Linked DNA regions of Anolis sagrei. The protein of the gene in region 1 purifies or fractionates together with the protein of each later gene. This does not show direct contact. Links are inferred from orthologs where the notes say so. Each region holds a gene or a part of one and is shown on either strand. Other genes may lie near its edges. The genes, in order: FGF11 and UBE2O.

Evidence for each region.
Region 2: the proteins of FGF11 (region 1) and UBE2O purify together in Homo sapiens (affinity purification with mass spectrometry; 3 studies listed by BioGRID and IntAct, with this or other methods). This does not show direct contact. The link is inferred for Anolis sagrei from reciprocal best matches to the Homo sapiens genes FGF11 and UBE2O.

The regions. Positions count from the first base shown.
Region 1 is NC_090026.1:3,537,359-3,549,660, reverse strand, and holds the start of FGF11 (fibroblast growth factor 11), read left to right. Parts: upstream 1-6,553; 5' UTR 6,554-7,393; coding exon 7,394-7,586; intron 7,587-12,302.
Region 2 is NC_090022.1:119,356,513-119,368,731, reverse strand, and holds the start of UBE2O ((E3-independent) E2 ubiquitin-conjugating enzyme), read left to right. Parts: upstream 1-7,091; 5' UTR 7,092-7,217; coding exon 7,218-7,631; intron 7,632-12,219. UniProt on the Homo sapiens protein: E2/E3 hybrid ubiquitin-protein ligase that displays both E2 and E3 ligase activities and mediates monoubiquitination of target proteins. Negatively regulates TRAF6-mediated NF-kappa-B activation independently of its E2 activity.

The DNA.
Region 1 (12,302 bases):
TTCCGCTGTCAGCCCTAGCTTCTGCCAACCTAGCAGTTCGAAAACATGCAAATGTGAGTAGATCAATAGGTACCGCTCCGGCGGGAAGGTAACAGCACTCCATGCGGTCATGCTGGCCACATGACCTTGGAGGTGTCTAAGGACAACGCTGGCTCTTCGGCTTAGAAATGGAGATGAGCACCACACCTCAGAGTCAGACATGACTGGACTTAATGTCAGGGGACAACCTTTACCTTTTATATATGCCATAACCCACAGCGCCCCCGGTGGCGCAGTGGGTTAATCTGCCGAGCTGCTGCACTTGCTGACCGAAATGTTACAGGTTCAAATCCGTAGAGCAGGGTGAGCTCCTGCTGTTAGGCCCAGCTTCTGCTGACCTAGCAGTTCGAAAACATGCAAATGTGAGTAGATGAATAGGTACCGCTCTGGTGGGAAGGTAATGGCGCTCCATGCAGTCATGTTGGCCACATGACCTAGGAGGTGTCTATGGACAATGCCGGCTCTTTGGCTTAGCAATAGAAATGAGCACCAACCCCCAGAATTGGATACTTACTGGACTTAATGTTAGGGGAAAACCTTTACCTTTACCTATATGCCATATATTTACTATATTCTATCTGACTACACAGGATTCTCTAGAGGTTTTTAATCAGAGGCTGGGAGGCCGTCTGTTGGGAAGGTTTGGATGGTGTCTTCCTGCCTGGCAGAAGAGGGTTAGACTAGATGGCCTTTGGGGATCCCTTCCAACTTCTAGGATTTGGAGGGTTTTTTTTAAGCAGAGGCCTGTCAAGAAGGGATTTGATGGTTGGACTAGATGACCTTTGGGGGTCATCTAGTCCCTTTTATATATGCCATATTCTATCTGACTACACACATACAATATTTACCGAAAGGAAGGTATATGGAGTGTTGTCCCTTCTTTCCCTCCTACACTAGATGCATCTACACTGTAGATTTAATGCAGTTTGATCTCGTTTTCACTGTAGTTTGCACTCTGGCAGAGAAGGCGAAAGGCCTTGCAAAACCACAATGCATTCCGCAACTCCCATGATGCCATAGCATGGTCCCTTTGACGGTTAAAATGAGGCCAAACTGCATTAAATCCAGGGTGTAGACTAGATGCAGACCTCCTGTTGCAGCCGGTGGCATCCCATAATAGATCTGTGGCGCTTTTATCGACCTCTCCAACAACTGTCCTGCTTTCGCATCGATCCGCAGGCCAGCCTTGCAAAGAGAGGCGGGAGGAGGCGACTTCAGGGGGAGAGTGGCTGGGTTTGTGTGTAGTGTCAACACTTAATTGGGACACAACTCTCCTGGAAGACGCCTCCGTCGGTCGAGGAATTGCTCTTTCGCCTGATCCAGGAGTTTAATGGGGAAGGAAGGGCGCTCTGTACATGCTCAGGGACTTCTTTCTCTTTCTCCATCCTAGGAGTTTGGAAGGGATCCCCAAAGGTCATCTAGTCCAACCAGCAAATCCCTTCTTGACAGGCCTCTGCTTTAAAAAAAAACCCTCCAAATCCTAGAAGTTGGAAGGGATCCCCAAAGGCCATCTAGTCCAACCCTCTCCTGCCAGGCAGGAGGACACCATCCAAACCTTCCCAACAGACGGCCTCCCAGCCTCTGATTAAAAACCTCTAGAGAATCCAAATCTTAGAGTTGGAAGGAAGAACCAAAGGCTTGAATTGCAAGGAGAGATAGGTAATCAAAAAAATTATCATCATCATCTAGTTCAGTGGTTCTCAACCTTGCTAATGCCGTGACCCCTTAATGCCGTTCCATATGTTGTGGTGACCCCCAACCATAATATTGTTTTCGTTGCAACTTGATACCTGTCATTTTAGTACGGTTATAAATCGTAATGTAAATATCCGATATGCAGGATATATTTTCATTCACTGGACTAAATTGAGCACAAATACTCAATATGCCCAAATGTGAATGCTAATGGGGTTGGGGGGGGGGGGGGGAGGATTGATTTTGTAATTTGGGAGTTGTAGTTGCTGGGATTTGTAGTTCACCTATAATCAAAAAACATTCTGAACTCCACCAGCGATGGATTTAAACCGAACTTGGCACAAAGAGCTCCCATGACCAACAGAAGACACTGGAAGGGTTTGGTGGGCATTGACCTTGAGATTGGGAGTTGTAGTATATCCAGAGGGGCGCTGTGGATTCATGCAGTGATGGATCTGGACCAAACTAGGCACGAATACTCAGTATGACCAAATGTGAACACTGGTAGATTCTGGGGAAAATAGACCTTTACATTTGGGAGTTGTAGTTGCTGGGATTTATAGTTCACCTACAATCAAAGAGCATTCTGAACTCGATCAACAATAGAATTGGGTCAAACTTCCCACACAGAATCCACATGACCAACATAAAATACTGTGTTTTCTGATGGTCTTTTGCTACCCCTTTGACACCCCCTCATGACCCCCTCAGGGGTCCCGACCCCCAGGTTGAGAAACACTGCTCTAGAGAATCCAAATCCTAGAGTTGGAAGGAAGAACCAAAGGCTTGAATTGCAAGGAGAGATAGGTAATTAAAAAAATTATCATCATCTAGTTCTGTATTTTTAATGGGTTTAAATATCTGTGGAATGACCAGGGTGGGACAAAGGACTCTTGTCTGCTGGAGCTAGGTGTGAATGTTTCAACTGACCACCTTAATTAGGATTTGATGGCCTGGCAGTGCCTGGGGCAATCTTTTGTTGAGAACTAGAAATTATCATCATCGAGTTCTGTATTTTGGTGGAATCTCTTATTGTTTAAATCCAAGGGTGCATCTACACTGACAAACGAATGCAAGTTCACACCACTTTAACTCTCAAGACTCATGCTATGGGAATTTGGGAGTTGGGTTGTTGTAGTTTTTTCCGGGCTATATGGCCATGTTCTAGAGGCATTTTCTCCTGACGTTTCGCCTGCATCTATGGCAAGCATCCTCAGAGGTGGTGAGGTCTCTTAGAAGTAGGAAAATGGGTTTATATATCTGTGGAATGACCAGGGTGGGGCAAGCCTCCTCAGAGGTAGTATGCTAATCAAGGTGGTCAGTTGAAACATTCACATCTAGCTCCAGCAGACAAGAGTCCTTTGCCCCACCCTGGTCATTCCACAGATATATAAACTCATTTTCCTACTTCCAACAGACCTCACTACCTCTGAGGATGCTTGCCATAGATGCAGGCAAAACATCAGGAGAAAATGCCTCCAGAACATGACCATATAGCCCGGAAAAACCTACAACAACCCAGTGATTCTGGCCATGAAAGCCTTCGACAATACAATTTGGGAGTTTTAGTTTTCCAAGAGTGACCAAGAGTTTTGGTGGGAGGCTCCCAAACTACAACTCCCAATATTCGATAGCATTGAGCCGCAAGAGTTCAAGAAGGATAGAGACCTTGTCAAACTACAGCTCCCGGGATTTGAGAGCATTGGGCTGTGGCAGTGAAAGTAGTGTCAAACTTGAATGCCTATGTGTTGTCGAAGGCTTTCATGGCCGGAATCACTGGGTTGTTGTAGGTTTTTTCGGGCTGTATGGCCATGGTCTAGAAGCATTCTCTCCTGACGTTTCACCTGCACTTTGGCAAGCATCCTCACCTCAGAGGTAGTGAGGTCTGTTGGAAGTAGGAAAATGGGTTTATATATCTGTGGAATGACCCGGGTGGGGCAAAGGACTCTTGTCTGCTGGAGCTAGGTGGGAATGTTTCAACTGACCACTTTAATTAGCATTTGATGTATTGTCGAAGGCTTTCAACAACCCCTTTGCCTAGCTCCAACAGGCCTCACTACCTCTGAGGATGCTTTCCAAAGTGCAGGCGAAACGTCAGGAGAGAATGCCTCTAGACCATGGCCATACAGCCCGAAAAAACCTACAACAACCCACTTGAATGGCTATGGCTCGAAATATGGCATCCCAGGACTTGTAGTTTTGAAGAGGCGCCGGTGTTTTCTGGCAGGGAAGGCGAAAGGCCTTGCAGAACTACAACTCCCAGGATCCCATTGCATTGACGCATGTCAAACGGCATTCATTCTAAAGTAAAGATGCTCCCAAAGTCTCCCTCTAGGGGGCGCCATTCGTATCATGGGGAGAAAGTGCATCCTCTAGGGGGCGCTGTCTGCAAACTCCCAATTCATTGGGGAGGGGGCAATCCAAGGGATACCCCAATAATTGCATGGGGGACTATTAGCAGGGGATCCCTATCATGCTCCTCCCACTCCCATTCCTTCCTCTTAATGTTTACATTTCAATCCATAGACCTTCCTTTCCGGAATCCCCATTGACTTTGGGAAAGCCCCCCCCCCTTTTTATTCCCCACCCCCGCTCCCTTTATCATGACTCATTAGATTTCCAAGGCTCCTTGACAGAAATGCCCTTTTCCTTCTTATCACTTCCCTCCTTCCCTCGTTCCCTTCCCAGTTATTGGGGTCCTATCATCCCCTCCAATTGGGGGAAAAATGTAATTATTTGCAGCTCTATCTCTGGTTGCATCAGGCTGGGACACTTGGAAGGACAGGTTCAGGTATCTGTATCCCTTAATCATTGCAAGATAGATAGATAGATAGATAGATAGATAGATAGATAGATAGATATGGTGTGTGTGTGTGTATGTATATATATATGCTATATATATGCTATATATATGGTGTGTGTGTGTATGTGTATGTGTATGTATATATATATATATATGGTATATATATATGGTGTGTGTATATATATATATATATATATATATATATATTCTTTCTCTCCATGGGGAGGGTCTCCTTCCCATGGGTCTTCATATATATATATATATATATATATATATATATATATATTCTTTCATTCTCTCCATGGGGAGGGTCTCCTTCTAAAGGGGTACCCCACTTTGTAAGCCATCAACTCCCCCCCCCCCCAAAAAGAAACCTATGTGAAGGACTAACTGAGAAGGAAAGAGAAGCGGAATATATATATATATATATATATATATATACACACATACACACACATACATACACACACACATATATATATGACTGCTAGGACAAGATCCCACCTTGCAATGGCAAAAGTCACACAGGACTATATATATAATATATATCAATATATAGCATTGCTAGGACAAGATCCCACCTTGCAATGGCAAAAGTCACACAGGACCATATATATATAATGTATCAATATATAGGATTGCTAGGACAAGATCCCACCTTGCAATGCCCAAAAGTCACACAGGACTATATATATATAATATATCAATATATAGGATTGCTAGGACAAGATCCCACCTTGCAATGCCCAAAAGTCACACAGGACTATATATATATAATATATCAATATATAGGATTGCTAGGACAAGATCCCACCTTGCAATGGCAAAAGTCACACAGGACCATATATATATAATATATCAATATATAGGATTGCTAGGACAAGATCCCACCTTGCAATGCCCAAAAGTCACACAGGACTATATATATATAATATATCAATATATAGGATTGCTAGGACAAGATCCCACCTTGCAATGCCCAAAAGTCACACAGGACTATATATATATAATATATCAATATATAGGATTGCTAGGACAAGATCCCACCTTGCAATGCCAAAAGTCACACAGGACCATATATATATATAATATATCAATATATAGGATTGCTAGGACAAGATCCCACCTTGCAATGGCAAAAGTCACACAGGACTGTATATATATAATATATCAATATATAGGATTGCTAAGACAAGATCCCACCTTGCAATGGCAAAAGTCACACAGGACCATATATATAATATATATCAATATATAGGATTGCTAGGACAAGATCCCACCTTGCAATGGCAAAAGTCACACAGGACCATATATATATAATATATCAATATATAGGATTGCTAGGACAAGATCCCACCTTGCAATGCCAAAAGTCACACAGGACTATATATATAATATATATCAATATATAGGATTGCTAGGACAAGATCCCACCTTGCAATGGCAAAAGTCACACAGGACTATATATATATTATATATCAATATATAGGATTGCTAGGACAAGATCCCACCTTGCAATGGCAAAAGTCACGCAGGACTATATATATAATATATATCAATATATAGGATTGCTAGGACAAGATCCCACCTTGCAATGCCAAAAGTCACACAGGACCATATATATATAATATATCAATATATGGGATTGCTAGGACAAGATCCCACCTTGCAATACCAAAAGTCACACAGGACTATATATATAATATATATCAATATATAGGATTGCTAGGACAAGATCCCACCTTGCAATGCCAAAAGTCACACAGGACCATATATATATATTATATCAATATATAGGATTGCTAGGACAAGATCCCACCTTGCAATGCCCAAAAGTCCTAGGAAAGAAGGGATGGAAAAAAGGGATAAAAGAGGGTGGTTTCTCTTTCCGGGTGCCTTCCTCTTGGTCCCCAAATTGAGACTGATGCCTTCCCCATATTGGCTGGCTTTGTCCTGTGCGAGTGTGACAAAATCCCTCTCTCTCTCTCCATTTCTCCATCCCTTCCCACCCCTCCCTTTTCGTCTGCTCCATTCCCTCGCTCCTCCATCCCCGCCACACACTCACACACCCAAACACACTCTCCCTTGCACAACCGCACACTCTCGCACACACTCCAAACACGCCCTTGCACGCTTGGGTTAGCATCGCTGGCCAGGTCCCTCTCCTAGCCAGCCACCCACCTACCCTTTTCTCTCTCTTCCTTTGGTTCTCTCTCTCCGCTGGCATCCCTTTCCCCATCCTCCCTTCCTAATTAACCTCCCAAGCTCTGAAGGACATTGGGGTCTCCTCCTCTGCGCCTCCCCCACCTTTTCCCAGAGAGGAAGAAAGAAGGGAGGAAAGAAAGAAAGAACACAGAGAGAGAAGAAAGAAAGAACAGAAGCGAGAGAGAGAGGAAAGAAAGAACGAAAGAAGGGGAGATAGAAAAAGAGAAAGAACGAATCAAGGAGCACGAATGGGATCAAGCCGGAGAGAACCCACCCTCTTTTCTCTTTTTTCGCCACCCGGTCTTTCTTAGGACTTTTGCCATCGCCGGATGTGAGAGATGGCATCTCGTCTCTATACGTTGATATTGATGAAGCACTGCTATATATCGATATAGGTTATTCTGTATCAGTATATATATTTTTCTCTCTTTTTTATGTCTCTTCTCTTTCTCGGTCAGACCTTGGGTTTTGTCCTTATCTCCGGAACCGGCAGGAGGAAACCGACTTTTGGAGACAAGTTGACCCTTCATCCAGGAAGGAAGAGAAGCCAAGGAGGAGGAAGAGGAGGAAGAGGAGGAGGAGAAGGGGCCTGGGTTCGGATCCCCCTCGCCCTCCTGGGCCCGCTGCCCTTTGCCCCCGGATGGGGCAGCTATGGCCGCGCTAGCCAGCTCCCTGATCCGGCAGAAGCGGGAGATCCGGGACCCCGTAGCCAGCCGGCCCGTCTCCACCCAAAGGAAGGTCTGCCCGCGGGGCACCAAGTCCCTATGCCAGAAACAGCTGCTCTTCCTCATCTCCAAAGTCAGGCTGTGCGGGGGGCGAAAGGGCCGGCTGGAGAAGACGCCGGGTAAGTCTTCCTCAGTCTTGCACCCCAAAAAAGAGGGGCCCTGACCCCCTCCAAGGCCTCATTGTGGGGGACAGGGGGACTTCCCACCCTCTGCTTTCCTTCAGTGTGGCTTTGCTAACATTATCTGCAATACATTGGGGTCAGCAGCAGGGGGCATCATTCTTGCGGTCGATAGCAAGAATGATGGGGAGTAATGGGATGCTGCATGGATATCTAGATTTTTGTGGGTTATTCCCAAATGTGGCTTTGGTTCGTCCAAGTGTGACATCTCTAACATTATCTGCAATACATTGGGGTCAACAGCAGGGGGCATCATTCTCGAGATCGATAGCAAGAATGAGGGGGGGGTAGTGGGATTCTGCATGGATATCTATATTTTTGTGGGTTATTCCCAAATGTAGCTTTGGTTTGTCCAAGTGTGGCATCTCTAACATTATCTGCAATACATCGGGGTCAACAGCAGGGGGCATCCTTCTTGAGGTGGATAGCAAGAATGATGGGGGGTAATGGGATTCTGCATGGATATCTATATTTTTGTGGGTTGTTCCCAAAGGTGGCTTTGGTTTGTCCAAGTGTGGCATCTCTATTTTGTTGGGTTCTTCCCTAAGTGTAACTTTGGTCTGTCCGAGTGTGGCATCTCTAACAAGCATCTGAAATGCCTTGGGGTCAACAGCAGGGGGCATCATGCCTGACGTCAATAACAATGTTGAACCCTACTTTTGGGGGGAATGGGACACTGCATTGACCCTCTATTTTCCTTGGTTCTTGCCAATTTTGATGTTGGAGTGTGGCATCTCTAACATTATCTGCAATACATCTGGGTCAACAGCAGGGGGCATCATTCTTGAGGTCGATAGCAAGAATGATGGGGGGTAATGGGATTCCGCATGGATATCTATATTTTTGTGGGTTGTTCCCAAATGTGGCTTTGGTTCGTCCAAGTGTGGCATCTCTAACATTATCTGCAATACATTGGGGTCAACAGCAGGGGGCATCGTTCTTGAGGTCGATAGCAAGAATGATGGGGGGTAATGGGATTCTGCATGAATATCTATATTTTTGTGGGTTGTTCCCAAACGTGGCTTTGGTTCGTCCAAGTGTGGCATCTCTAACATTATCAGCAATGCCTTGGGGTCAACAGCAGGGGGCATCCTTCTTGAGGTCAATAGCAAGAATGATGGTGGGTAATGGGATTCTGCATGGATTGTTCCCAAATGTGGCTTTGGTTCGTCCAAGTGTGGTATCTCCAACATTATCAGCAATGCCTTGGGGTCAACAGCAGGGGGCATAGTTCTTGAGGTCGATAGCAAGAATGATGGGGGGTAATGGGATGCTGCATGGATATCTATATTTTTGTGGGTTATTCCCAAATGTGGCTTTGGTTTGTCCAAGTGTGGCATCTCTATTTTGTTGGGTTCTTCCCTAAGTGTAACTTTGGTCTGTCCGAGTGTGGCATCTCTAACAAGCATCTGAAATGCCTTGGGGTCAACAGCAGGGGGCATCATGCCTGACGTCAATAACAATGGTGAACCCTACTTTTGGGGGGAATGGGACACTGCATTGACCCTCTATTTTCCTTGGTTCTTGCCAATTTTGATGTTGGAGTGTGGCATCTCTAACATTATCTGCAATACATCGGGGTCAACAGTAGGTGGCATCGTTCTTGAGCTCGATAGCAAGAATGATGGGGATAATGGGATTCTGCATGGATATCTATATTTTTGTGGGTTGTTCCCAAATATACCTTTGGTTCGTCCAAGTGTGGCATCTCTAACATTATCTGTAATACATTGGGTCAACAGAGGGGGCATCGTTCTTGAGGTCGATAGCAAGAATGATGGGGGGTAATGGGATCCTGCATGGATATCTACATTTTTGTGGGTTGTTCCCAAATATGGCTTTGGTTTGTCCAAGTGTGGCATCTCTAACATTATCTGCAATATATCGGGGTCAACAGCAGGGGGCATTGTTCTTGAGGTCGATAGCAAGAATGATGGGGAGTAATGGGATGCTGCATGGACCTCTATTTTGTTGAGTTCTTCCCTAAGTGTAGCTTTGGTTTGTCCAAGTGTGGCATCTCTAACAAGCATCTGAATTGCCTTGGGGTCAACAGAAGGGGGCATCATGCCTGATGTCAATAACAATGGTGAACCCTACTTTTGGGGGGAATGGGACACTGCATTGACCCTCTATTTTCCTTGGTTCTTGCCAATTTTGATGTTGGAGTGTAGCTTCTCTAACATTATCTGCAATACATTGGGGTCAACAGCAGGGGGCATCCTTCTTGCGGTCGATAGCAAGAATGATGGGGATAATGGGATTCTGCATGGATCTCTATATTTTTGAGGATTGTTCCCAAATGTGGCTTTGGTTCGTCCAAGTGTGGCATCTCTAACATTATCTGCAATACATTGGGGTCAACAGGAGGGGGCATAATTCTTGAGGTCGATAGCAAGAATGATGGGGGGTAATGGGATGCTGCATGGATATCTAGATTTTTGTGGGTTGTTCCCAAACGTGGCTTTGGTTCGTCCAAGTGTGGCATCTCTAACATTATCTGCAATACATTGGGGTCAACAGCAGGGGGCATCGTTCTTGCGGTCAATAGCAAGAATGATGGGGATAATGGGATTCTGCATGGATATCTATATTTTTGTGGGTTGTTCCCAAATGTGGCTTTGGTTCATCCAAGTGTGGCATCTCTAACATTATCAGCAATACATTGGGGTCAACAGCAGGGGGCATCCTTCTTGAGGTGGATAGCAAGAATGATGGGGGGTAATGGGATTCTGCATGGATATCTATATTTTTGTGGGTTGTTCCCAAATGTGGCTTTGGTTCATCCAAGTGTGGCATCTCTAACATTATCAGCAATACATTGGGGTCAACAGCAGGGGGCATCCTTCTTGAGGTGGATAGCAAGAATGATGGGGGGTAATGGGATTCTGCATGGATATCTATATTTTTGTGGGTTGTTCCCAAAGGTGGCTTTGGTTTGTCCAAGTGTGGCATCTCTAACATTATTTGCAATGCCTTGGGGTCAACAGCAGGGGGCATCCTTCTTGCGGTCAATTGCAAGAATGATGGGGGGGGGGAGGGTAACAGGATGCTGCATGGACCTCTATTTTGTTGGGTTCTTCCCTAAGTGTAGCTTTGGTTTGTCCAAGTGTGGCATCTCTAACAAGCATCTGAATTGCCTTGGGGTCAACAGCAGGGGGCATCATGCCTGACGTCGATAACAATGGTGAACCCTACTTTTGGGGGGAATGGGACACTGCATGGACACTCTATTTTCCTTGGTTCTTGCCAATTTTGATGTTGGAGTGTGGCTTCTCTAACATTATCTGCAATACATCGGGGTCAACAGCAGGGGGCATCGTTCTTGAGGTCAATAGCAAGAATGATGGGGGGTAATGGGATTCTGCATGGATATCTATATTTTTGTGAGTTGTTCCCAAATGTGGCTTTGGCTTGTCCAAGTGTGGCATCTCTAACATTATTTGCAATACATTGGGGTCAACAGCAGGGGGCATAATTCTTGAGGTCGATAGCAAGAATGATGGAGGGGTAATGGGATTCTGCATGGATATCTATATTTTTGTGGGTTGTTCCCAAAGGTGGCTTTGGCTTGTCCAAGTGTGGCATCTCTAACATTGTCTGCAATACATTGGGGTCAACAGCAGGGGGCATCCTTCTTGCGGTCGATAGCAAGAATGATGGGGAGTAATGGGATGCTGCATAGATATCTATATTTTTGTGGGTTGTTCCCAAAGGTGGCTTTGGCTTGTCCAAGTGTGGCATCTCTAACATTATCTGCAATACATTGGGGTCAACAGCAGGGGGCATCCTTCTTGAGCTCGATAGCAAGAATGATGGGGGGTAATGGGATGCTGCATGGATATCTATATTTTTGTGGGTTATTCCCAAATGTGGCTTTGGTTTGTCCAAGTGTGGCATCTCTATTTTGTTGGGTTCTTCCCTAAGTGTAACTTTGGTCCGTCCGAGTGTGGCATCTCTAACAGGCATCTGAAATGCCTTGGGGTCAACAGTAGGGGGCATCATGCCTGATGTCAATAACAATGGTGAACCCTACTTTTGGGGGAAATGGGACACTGCATTGACCCTCTATTTTCCTTGGTTCTTGCCAATTTTGATGTTGGAGTGTAGCTTCTCTAACATTATCTGCAATACATCGGGGTCAACAGGAGGTGGCATTGTTCTTGAGCTCGATAGCAAGAATGATGGGGGGTAATGGGATTCTGCATGGATATCTATATTTTTGTGGGTTGTTCCCAAATGTGGCTTTGGTTCATCCAAGTGTGGCATCTCTAACATTATCAGCAATACATTGGGGTCAACAGCAGGGGGCATCCTTCTTGAGGTGGATAGCAAGAATGATGGGGGTAATGGGATTCTGCATGGATATCTATATTTTTGTGGGTTGTTCCCAAAGGTGGCTTTGGTTTGTCCAAGTGTGGCATCTCTAACATTATTTGCAATGCCTTGGGGTCAACAGCAGGGGGCATCCTTCTTGCGGTCAATTGCAAGAATGATGGGGGGGGGAGGGTAACAGGATGCTGCATGGACCTCTATTTTGTTGGGTTCTTCCCTAAGTGTAGCTTTGGTTTGTCCAAGTGTGGCATCTCTAACAAGCATCTGAATTGCCTTGGGGTCAACAGCAGGGGGCATCATGCCTGACGTCGATAACAATGGTGA
Region 2 (12,219 bases), on another chromosome or scaffold:
GCCCTTGACATGTTGTATTTCATAACTGAATCTTCCATCATTCCCAGATAACCAATTGTTTAGGGAGCCATGTTAGGAAAGAGATAAAGAACATCTGCATTAAATTCTACATCCTAAACTGTGTAAGATTAACTTATAGATTTCATGAAAATTTTAGTTCAAGTCAAGGGAAAGGTGCACAGAAATCTCCAAACTGCAGCTCTGGGAGCAGGACTCTGAAAACAAAAGGCCATCAAAGACTGCTGTGCTGGGTTAATTTTTTGGGATTTTTTAAAAAAGTGTACGAGAATCTTTTTTTACAATGACTGCCATCCTATCAGAATTAGTTTCTCCACTGCAGCACTTTTTAAAAGGCAAATCACACATGGTTGAATGCTGTTTAATTATTCTACAGTTAGCCTTCTAAAATGGTTACAAAAAAGGAGTCTACATGCACATGACAGATAACATCTATCTGCTCCCAGACTAACTTCTAGAGACCTAGAGAAAAAAGATTTTAAAAACTTTATAAATCATATTAGCAACTTTAGAATAATATTTCCTCCAAAGGCATACAACAAGAGAATAGGAACATTTGTTTTTATGCAACTGTGTTGCGTATGCTATAATTTCATGGAACATCTGATCCCACTGAGCTGTGCTCATCCACTGTAATGATAAACCATAGCTTATAATAACAAGAGCAGGCTTCAGAGAGTGCATGTTGTCCTCTCCAGCCCCCGTGGCTCAAATGAATTCAGAAAGTTTTTTGTTTTTTTTCCTGAGGATGATTTGTCTTATTATTTTGAAGGACAAACAGTGGTTATCACTAATTTTGCTTCATTTGAAATAACTTTAAGCCAAGGTTTAAAGAAAAGGGGGCAGCATGCAAGCTCGGTTTGCCTCAAATTGGATTTATCAGACTGAATAATAGTTTGGGGTTCTGCAACACATGATCCTCGCACAGATTTTTTTTTAAAGTGCAATTTCACAGTTCCAACAATGGTTAATTAAAATTGGCAAAGATAACAGTAAAATCTATATCTATATATCTATATCTATCTATATAATAAAAATGAAAATATGTTTGTATGCTTGTGTGTGTGTATATATGTATGCTTGTTTACGGACGATTTCCAAGAAGGCTCCCACTTCCAAAGAGCCCTGTGCCATCCACTAACAATGGATCTGGACCACACTTACACACTTGGAACACCAACACCCCCCCCCCCCCCCGAACAATATAAAATACTGAAGGGATTTGGGGAGGGGTTGACCCGGTATTTTGGGATTTATAGTTCACGCACATCCAGAGAGCATTGTGAGCCAAACCAACGATGGATCTAGACCAACTTTGCACTGATACCCATAATGACCAACTTTGAATACTGGTGGGATTTGGGAGGAGGGGGAATTGATCCAATACCGAGTTATAGTTCATCCACATCCTTATGTGTTTTCTAATCAGAACATTAATTAAAAAACCCCATGAGCAAATAATGACTATTTCTTACAAACAGCATTACAAAAGACCTAACTCAAGCATCGGCAGGTACCTAGGCTAGTATTAAATACAAAAGAGACATCTTGGGAACAGCAAGAAAGAGAGGATAATTCCATCTCCTGATGCCACTTCACTACTTGCAGGCCAGCACAAAAGCAGAAAGAACAATTCACGCAAAGCAAGTGAGGGGAACTTGTGGGGATTGCCAGCTACTTCTCATCAATAAATAGTGGGGGATGGGTTAACCATGGAAAGGAGGCGGACTGGCAGCAGGATGTGCATGGGATCATGCAACAGGGACCAACATCAAGGTGGCAGTCCAGCTTCAATGCCAGATTGCCTGCCTCATTCAATGAAGTCCTCAGTTGCCTTCATACAGTGATACATTCACATGTCACAATTTTAGTGAGACATTACAGAATATATACATACAATAAGGAAACAGATATCACACACAGGACAAAGCATAGTATATACAGGGTGGGACCACGGCTGACCCTGTTTAGCTTTCAAGATCAGACAAAATCTGGTATCTTTGGCCAATATATATCTTACCTAATGTTACGAGATATATGATCGATTTTAAGAAACCACAGTACTCTAAGCTGTATAGATTATGTCTTACTGGATTTATTCTATATGTATTTGGATATTATATCACAGGCATGCAAAAATGGTAACATAGCATATTAACAAATCGAGTGCAGCATTGTTTAGATTCAAAACTACATAGTACTATCAAAGAGCGCCACCTGTTGGGAAAATAAAAGCTGCCAAACTGACACTATAAGAGGCAAAAAATCTGTTCAAAGCAGATGGGGGAAACAGAAGGGTCTCTTTACAAATTTTACATTCACTAAGATGTGGGTGGGTTACAGCTGAGTGCTGCTTTTCTCAGCATTTAAATAATTGATCCAGAGGTGTAAATATCTTTTGCAGATCTAGGAGCATTATCTAAGACAGTGGTGACACGCTTGCCAGGAGCATGCAGCACCCTCTCTGTTGGCATGCTTGCCATCGTCTCCCCCCCGCCCCCAACCCTGCTTGCACATCCTCAACGTAATTTTCTCTATTATTGTCCCTTTGGCAGACAGCCTCAAGGGCTTCTACCTTAAAGGAGGTGTTGAAACTGACTTCAGAAATTATATTTCTCAGAGGAAAGGGTTTCATGACCCCCAGGTTAAGATTTCCTGGTATAATATTACAAGTGGCCACAAAAATAATTCCTGAGAAGGTGGGATCACAATGCAAGTCCTGCTCCAACCTTCTCATTTTTTTCCACCAAAACCTTCTAACTGAGGGACAAGAAAGTCAATGCCCTCCAAAGGTTGTTAAATTCATCAGTTGAGGCAATGTTGAGGATAGATGGGAATGCAGTCCAACATCATCAAAGGGCTCTCCTATTCTGCCACTTGTAATATTATACCATTCTGTCTCTCCAACTTATGTGATTTGGCATGTTCTGTAAAAAGAAGGGGAATACCATGCTGCTTTCCTGCCATCAGCAGGTAGGAATCATTGCCCAGGTATGGTAGAATATCCTCACCACCCCCATGTAGTATTGGTTTAGTCCCTTTAGTGTTTGTTAACATGTATTTTTCATTCAGCTTTAGAAAGTTAACTCCAGGGTCATGGAATTTTGACTCTACAATCTGAATAACACACAGCATTATACAAGACATACCAGACAACTTAACCACCCAGTAATTCTGAGTACATGACAACACTACTCCTTAGAAATTTCTAGTAACATAGGCAACTCAGTATATCACACTTTTACTTCACAGGAACCTATGGGTAAGAGATATCTCTACTTATTACTGTGATTCCAGTTAGAAAACAAAATATCCACAAGATGGAGCCAGAGTTTCCAGAAAGAGAGAGGGAGGGAGGGTGGGACAAGCAGCAATAAAGGATACAGTTGTGCCCAGAAGCTGAATTACACCTCTCCTGGGCCACTGGGGCTTCTTGCTATTTATACGATAGCTGAAATGAAAACCCAGTAATCTGAACCATAATGGCTATTTTTCAAGCAAAAGCAAAATATAAAAAAAACTTAGAATATTTGGAGAAGAAAAGTACACACTAAAGGAGATGGAGAAACAGGAGTTCAAATGTCATGTACACATATACATCACATTGGGGGTAAATTGGGATGGGACACATATGGCCTTCAATTGATGGGCTGCAACTTCTATTATGTTATACTGGTTAGGGCCGATGGGAACTGAAGTTTATCATCTGGTGGACTAAACATTGCTCACTCAGTTTAATGCTTTGCATTACTGTTCTAAAAACAAAACAAAAATCCCATACATAATGGATTAGAAATATAAAGGCAAAATATGATACTGCATAGAGAACTCAAGTAGTTTCATTTTGCCCTGAAGACTTAAGTTTCACATATACACATCAAAACATCATTAAGATGATGGGACATTGTTTCTCTTTTGCTTTGAAGGGCATGGTTCTTAGAGACAAGACTTAAATGTAGCAACTTCTTGAGCTTTGTGCACCTTAGTAATATGAATCTCCACACTTGTTCCTAGGAACAACATAGAGATTTCAATGTAGAGCACGTGGATACCCTTCTATAACTTGGGTATGTGGGTTATCTTTTATAACTGTAAGATTAATCAGATCTTAAGAAATTATTTTTATGTTTCCCTTAGTTGCAGCTATCCATTTATACTATATTCATGTCCATGGAAGGATGCAACAATTGCACTGGGAATAAATCTTAAGAATGGCTGTTAAAGCCTCATATTTAAATTATTCTGTTAAAATACTTGCACAATATATTGTACAAAATTACACTGCCAGCCTTGATTGCTAAACACATTGAAGATAATGAATAAGACCTGGGGCGAGATTTTTTGTACAATTAAGAAATTAATGCTAAACTCTCAATAAAATCACTATACTGCCTCTACATTTATAACATTAATACTATCTCATTTTTTTCTCTATACAGAAACAAAGCTTCACTCCCCACAGCTTCTACTTAATTGGGCTTTTATATCAGGACCTCTTGCACTAGGATGACCATTAGACTCTTGTGAGCATGAGACATTAGCTCCAGAAACTCCCATTGCCTTCCCAGCTTCTGAATTTCCATGTCACAATTAGACTCCCTCAATTTGCTTTACATCTAAGCTAGCAGTGATGGATGTCCAAAGGAGTTAATTGAGAGTAGTGCACTCAAATTATTCCCATACCAGACTTTAAGGGTTTTCAACATCACAATAATAGTACCAAAATTATACCCTGATTATTTTTATTAGGTAAAGAAAACACCTCTCTCCTCCTTACTTTCAAATTTCAAAGCAACCTTTGAAATTGAGTGTATTCGATTTTGCTCTTCAGACAATGTTTCTCTCCCATGCCTTCAATTCCTCATATCCACACTCTTGCAGCCATCAATTTAATCATTGTGTTTATGCTTTGGCTCAAATTTTCTACTCCCCCCACCAAGACTTTCCCTCCTTCTCCTCCTGCATCTTTGCTGTTGTGTGTCTTCAGTCATTTCTGAAGTATACCAACTCTAAAGTGAACCTATCACAAACTTTTGGGGCATGACTTGTTCGGAGGAGGGGGCACCTTTGTCTTCCTCTGAGAGAGTGTGACTTACCCCAGGTCACTCAGTGGGTTTCCACAGCCAAGTGGGTATTTGAACCCTGGTCTCCCGGTCTTCACTCTATGCTCAAATCGCTGCCCCACACTGGCTCTCTTTCCCCATGATTCTTTCTCTGGGCCTAAGCTACAATACAGACCCAGAATGAGACAAAGGGGGCAAATGCACAACAGATGGCTTAATTTGAAATCCTCTTTTTCCCATTTTATCTTTGTTCGTTTGCTTTCCATTTCACTCCTTGTCCGCCTTCCCATTTTGAGAGCCACTCCCTCCATCTTCAGCAAGACACTCATGGACAGCCAACTTCAAATTACTTCCTGCCCCTAACAGGGAACAAAGCCAGGTAGGGGCCTTTGGGGGCAGACACTGGGGAAAGGAGGACAAAAAGGGAAGGAGGTAGAGACCCACCCCCAAAGGTCCCTCTACTACACTGTAGAAGGCCTTTGGCGTTCTCTGCTAAAGAGTGGTGGTGCCTCGGCAAGCTCCAAATCCTGGGATTTCATGGCATTGAGCAGTGATGGTTCCAGTGGTTTGGAACTGCCTTCATCTGTAGCAGGCATGGGCAAACTTTGGCCCTCCAGGTGTTTTGGACCTCAACTCTTACAATTCCTAAGAGCCTCAGGCCTTTTCCTTTTCTCTCTCAGCCGCTTAAGCAGAAAAGCTTAATGCCATCAATTGGGGACCCCTTCCCCCAGCACCAACTGCTGCTCTGGGCCAGAGTAAAGAGAGAGGGGGACAGTTCCATCTTGTCTCCTGCATATGTCATCAGCTGGGGACCCCTCCCCACAGCACCAACTGCCGCTCTGGGCTACAGTGAAGGGGAGGGGGGCAGAACACAGTTCCACCTTTTCTCCTGTGCTATTCTAATCATATAATATAATATATTGTGTATATACATATAATATTTATAATAATGTAATGCAATATAATAATATAATTATATATTTCTATTACATGTAATATTACTAATATTACATGTATAATATAGTAATATTTAATACTGATATTGTACTATGCTAATAATATAATATATTGTATGCATATCTTGTAAGCCGCTCTAAGTCCCCTTCGGGGTGAGGAGGAGACTCAGAGATATTTTATTTATGTCGTAAATAAATAAAATAAAGGGAAAAGGAAGGGGGGCTGAGACTGTTAGGAATTGTGGAAGTTGAAGTCCCAAAACACCTGAGGGGGGGGGGGGGAGGGGGAGTTTGCCCATGCCTGCTGGAGATGAAGGCAGTTCCCCACCATTTGAACCATCACGGCTCAATGCCATGAAATCCTAGAATTTGGAGCTTGCCGAGGCACCACCACTCTTTAGAGCAGTGGTTCTCAACCTGTGGGTCTCCAGATGTTTTGGTCTTCAACCCCCAGAAATCCTATCAGTTGGTAAACTGGCTGGGATTTCTGGGAGTTGTGGAGCAAAACACTTGGGGACCCACAGGTTGGGACCCACTGCTTTAAAAGAACGCCAAAGGCCTTGTAAAACTCCAGCTCCCAGGATCCCAGAGCATTCTGCCATGGCAGTTACAGACAAACTGCATGGATTCTGTCTTGTGGATGCGCCAAGACTAGGGAAGGGGAGCACCTGTCAGCTCCGCCTCTGCTTTGCCTCGTAGGGTGGGAAGGGGCGCCATCTTATGATGCTCTACTTGAGGCATCAAAGGCCTGTGAGCACCTTCTGGAGCCCTCCTCCTCCTCACAGAGACACGCTCGCGATTCTCCCTGTTTTCTGTGCTGTGTGCCACAGCCCTCTTCGGTTGTGAAAGCTGCCTTCCCTCTCTTCTCAGGCGCCGAGGCCTTCCCTCCATCCACCTCCATCCCCTTCAGAGAGGAAGATGTAGGCCCGTCCCTCTCCCCTTCTCCCTCCCTCCCTCCTCAGGCTGCTCTTGGCCCCGCCCCCTCCTCGCTTTGCTATTTGACGCGAGGCGTCGCCATCTTGGAGCCCCGCCCCCTACCGAACGCGGACTGCGCCTGCGCGCGCCGGGAAAGCGAGCAAGCGAGTGAGCGAGAGTGAGCCAGGCGGCCGCCGTCGCTGCTGCTGCTTCTCTCCCTCCCTCCCTCCGCCCGCCTCCTTCCTTCCTTCCTCCCCCCTCAGCCATGGCGGAGCCGCCACCGACCACCGGGACGCCGCCATCTCCAACGCCGCCATCAATAGCAACAGCAGCACCCGGCGGCGGCTCGCAGCGCCTCCTCTTCACCCATGACTTGGTCTCCGGCAAGTACAGGGGCTCGGTGCGCTTCGGCCTGGTCCGCGTCATGCACGGCGAGGACTCCGACTCTGAGGAAGACGACGGCGGGGGAGGAGGAGGAGGAGGGGGCGGAGGGGGAGGAGGACGAGGCCCAGCAACAGCAGGAGGAGGAGGAGGAGGGGGCAGCTCGGCGGGCTCGGAGTCCGGGGGCCCCGGAGGAGGAGGAGGAGGGGAAGAAGGCCGCGGGAGCCCCCTCCGCCGCGGCTACGTGCGCGTCCAGTGGTACCCCGAGGGCATCAAGCAGCACGTCAAGGAGACCAAGGTAGGCCCCTCCCGAGTGGGCAAGGAGCGGGGGAAAGGAGATGCCGAGGCAGGAGCAGCAGCAGCAGCAGGCCCTCTGTGGGCGTGGGCCTGGTGGGGGCTGCGGCAGGGGAGGAGGAAGAGGAAGGGCCGCCCTGAGGAACCTGAGGGAGGGTCGGGGGTCTTAAAGGAAAGTTGGCGAGGAAAGAGGGCGGTGGCAAGGAGGGAGAGCGAGGAGAAAGGACGGGGACATGCTCTCCCTCTGTGTGTGTGTATTCCTCACACATATATACAGATATATATATATATATATATATATATATATATATATACACACACACACACACACACATACAGATATATATATACAGATATATACACACACAGTTACGACTGTGGAATGACCTGCGGAAGAGCTCCAACAGCTAAACAAACTCAACACCCATCCCTTCTGGCAGGCCTACCCAGTCAACTTGCTATCATGTGTTTTGATTTGCACTCTATTGCCACGACTGGCGGAGGTGGGTGAGCGATGGGGTCTCCTCAGTGGTGGCCCCTCGCCTGTGGAACTCTCTACCCAGCATTCGAACAGTAGTAGAGGCAGCAATTGAGAATGAGACACAATTTATGTGAATGACAATGGACTGACCTGGACTACAATTTCAAACCTGTGTGATTTAAACAATGTTTGAGTAATTTTATGTTCTAATTGCTTTTATTGTTTATTACTGTTGTTGGCATTGAATGAATACCTGTTGACAAACTTGAATTGGAAAATGACTCTGGAACGGCCCAAGACGATGGAACTGATAAGGACTTGAATGAGAGGATATAGTTTATAGCTTTTAATATTGTTATTATGCACTGGCTTATGTCTAATTGCACTATAATGGTTCTTTTGTTTATCAATGTATGTATTTTTATGGCATCGAATTGTGCCGATTGTGTACGCCGCTCTGAGTCGCCTCCAGGCTGATATGAGCGGGATAGAAATAATGCAAAAAAAAAAAAGTTGTCAAGCCGCCCTGAGCCTCCCTCCGGGGTGAGAAGGGCAGGATACAAATATGCAAAATAAATATATGTCAATTTTGTAGCAGTGTTTGGTATAAGTTTTCAAATGTCTGTGCTTGGCAATGCAATTTAGTAATTTATTGTATTTTTATTTACTTCACTTGTATTCCGCTTTTCTCACTCGGGGGTGTGTGTGCTCAAAGCTGTTTCCAACATGTGTTGTTGAAAGCTTGCGTGGCCGGAATCACTGGGTTGCTGTGAGTTTTTCGGGCTATATGGCCATGTTCCAGAAACATTCTCTTCTGACATTTCACCCACATCTATGGCACGCATCCTCAGAGGTTGTGACCTCTCAACCTCTGAGGATGCCTGCCATAGATATGGGTGAAATGTCAGGAGAGAATGCTTCTGGAACATGGCCATACAGCCCGGAAAACTTATAGCAACCCGGTTTCCAACATATTTCTGACAAAACATAATGCCTCGCATACATATGAAACCTAACATAAAGCGAGAATAATATAACTATCAATTAGATCATACAAACCTAACAACATTTAAACATTAAAACATAGAATTAAAACATATTAATATAAATGGTAAAATCACATAATCCAGAAATAATGGTCCAAGGCCATGTATTTTTATGTTTGTTTGTTTGTTTTTTAATTAGTTGTACCCCTCCTTGAGCCATCAGGGAAGGCAGATAATGAATAAAATGTATTACTATTATTATGCACACAATCTCACACACATTGATATAGATATACATATACACACATAGGTTCTCTCTCACACACATACACATATATACACAAAAACATATATACATTTGCACATATATAGATACACATCCATCCCCTCATACGTACCCTATACACACACCCACACACATATATATACATACTCTCACACAAATAAATATTGCTAAAGATATATACTTTCTCTCTTACATACAGATATATACACACCCACACATATACTGAGTGTGCCAAAAGTCACAAAGGGGTTTCAATATTTAATAATTCCTTTGTGCTTTGTTTTTAATTTACAATGTTCACAAAAGCATATATAGAATATATAGGAAATGAAATTGAATTACATTATATATAAAATCTTTTCAAACAAAAATTTCAAAGAATTATTGAAACATTAGATGCCTTTGTGAGTTTTGGCCCACTCTTTGTATGCACATTTATATATTTACATACATGCACTCAAACATACGTATGCATACATAGATAAGCACACATGTGTACATATATATACTGTATATACACTCACGTGTATAGCTCACACATGCATATATGCATACATACATTCCTTCAAGAATGCTACTATTGATTGATATTATAAATACTGTATTATCTCAGGCCAGTGTGCTCTGAAAAAGCTGCCTTACATTGTCCACATTGCATTGTACAGGTTGTACAGTTTTCTATTTTGGAAAGAAAATCATATTTTTTTTCTCTCTCTCTCTCTCTCCCTGTCCCCCAAATAGGTTACATTCTGTGCTCCCCCTTCTCCCACCATAATATTCTAGAAGACTTCTTTCACCATTTTAAAAAATATGTTGTTAGGCAACATGCTTCTATTCAGCATCCTGAATGCTCCAGGCCTTCCCTGCAATCTGTGTTTTGCGGGTTGTTCAGGTAGTCAGGAGTTTGGACGTGGTCTCTCAGACTCTTCTGCAGTGACATCTGCTGATTGGTATTGCTGTTCTGCAGAAGTTCATATTTTTTTACTGCATGGTTTCAGATATGGATGGGGATGGAACTTATTTAAGAGGGAAAAAACATCACTGGAGACCATTATTTTTAGCAAATGTTTGGATAACTATAAATACTTGTGATGCCTCAATGTATTAATTGAGAATATTAATATTCTTGGAAGTGAACTATATTATGGCATAGGGGGAGTTTGTTGTTAGTTGCCACTATAGTAGTAAGTGGTTGGTAGTGTAGGAGAAGCAAATGTAGCAAGCCTTCTAAAATGAAGGTATTAATGGTTAAATACTGTTGGTTGGAGCAAAAAAAAAAAAAAGGTTACTGTTTGGGTAGGAGGGAAAACATTGTCTTTGCTCCAGTATGCATAATTGATGTTATATAATTATGCATAATTAAAAACTGAAGGGCGTATTTATATCATGAGACACAAGTTGACATGAATTGCTTAAAAAATAACAGTGTACATGTCAAATAGCTAACTTGCATCTCATTTGAAATATTGAGAGTGATACTAATATTCTGTGAACTCTATGTTAGGTTTTCAAATGTTATGGAGAAGAATGACTTACTCCAAATATGTAGAACAAAAGAGAGTGAGGGGTGGGCCCAGATGTAATATGAGAGGACCGATGCATTGTGTGTATCTTGAGAAGGAGTGGCATGGATATGCTGTGATAAGTGAAAGTATGTACTACTCATATTCTTATTAGCAGTCCTTGGCCTTGAAATCATGTGTATTTCTTTGAGAATAATGCGATGCATTCACTATGACCAGACACTTCTTTTCTGGCTGTGATTAAATCCATTAAGTTCATAGCAAAGAAATCAGCAATGACAATATTAAAAAAAGCCCTGGAACCCCCTAAAAAGATAGATATTCATAATTTTTCACATAGATTCTGAGAATATTTAAAATTTTGGATATAGGCTTTCTGTGACAAAGCTTGGTCTGTATAAATTCTAAATTATTCCCAAGGGTCTTATTTTTACTCAGGCTTTTTGGTTTCATAGTGAGGCTAAAATTGTAAGATGTCACTTGGGGAAAACAGTAAACCTAATTATAGTGTGCTTTCAAGTCTTTTTGGTTGTTGTGTGCCTTCAAACTATTTCCAAGTTTGGCTCACCTTAGGATTTCCATATCATTGCATTTTCTTGTCAAGATTTGTTCACCTGACATTTGTCTTTGTCTTCCTCTGAAGTTGAGAGGGTATGCAAATTTTGTACTCTGTCTGGGCATTGTATCTTTTTACCCTGTTTCCCCTTCCCTTCAGCTCCCTCACCCATATTGTGCTTCAGTAGTTATATTTATATTTTTAATGTACCAAACATACCAAGTTTGTATGAAAATGTGACTATTTCCTGTGCTGGTCAATGACCGAAATAAATGATTTGATTTGATTTGAGAGGCTATGACTTACCCAAGGTCACTCAGTAGATTTCTGTGTCCTAATGGAGATTTTAACCTTGGTCTGCAGAGTCCTAGTTCAACACTCAAATTACTACAGTGTGATAGCTCTTAACTTTCTTTAGACAGGAGTAAATAAAAGTATAAACCATCTATTTCATAGGCATGGATTCAGATCTGTACTCTTTTAAGAATTCAACAAGATGGCCAAATATTAGCTTGAATAACCCCATAGAGACATAGAGTTGGAAGAGACCACATGGGCCATTTAGTCCAACCCCCTGCCATGCAGGAAAAGCACAGAGTACCCCTGATAGATGGCCATCCAAGGCAGGAGCTTCCACCACACTCCATATGCTTGCTCTTGCAAAGGTGAGAGTGGTGGCCATAAATGTCACCCTGAGTATTTCCCCTTTTGTGCATGTTGCCCGCCAGGTGTTTTGGATGTCAGTTCCCAGAATTCCTGA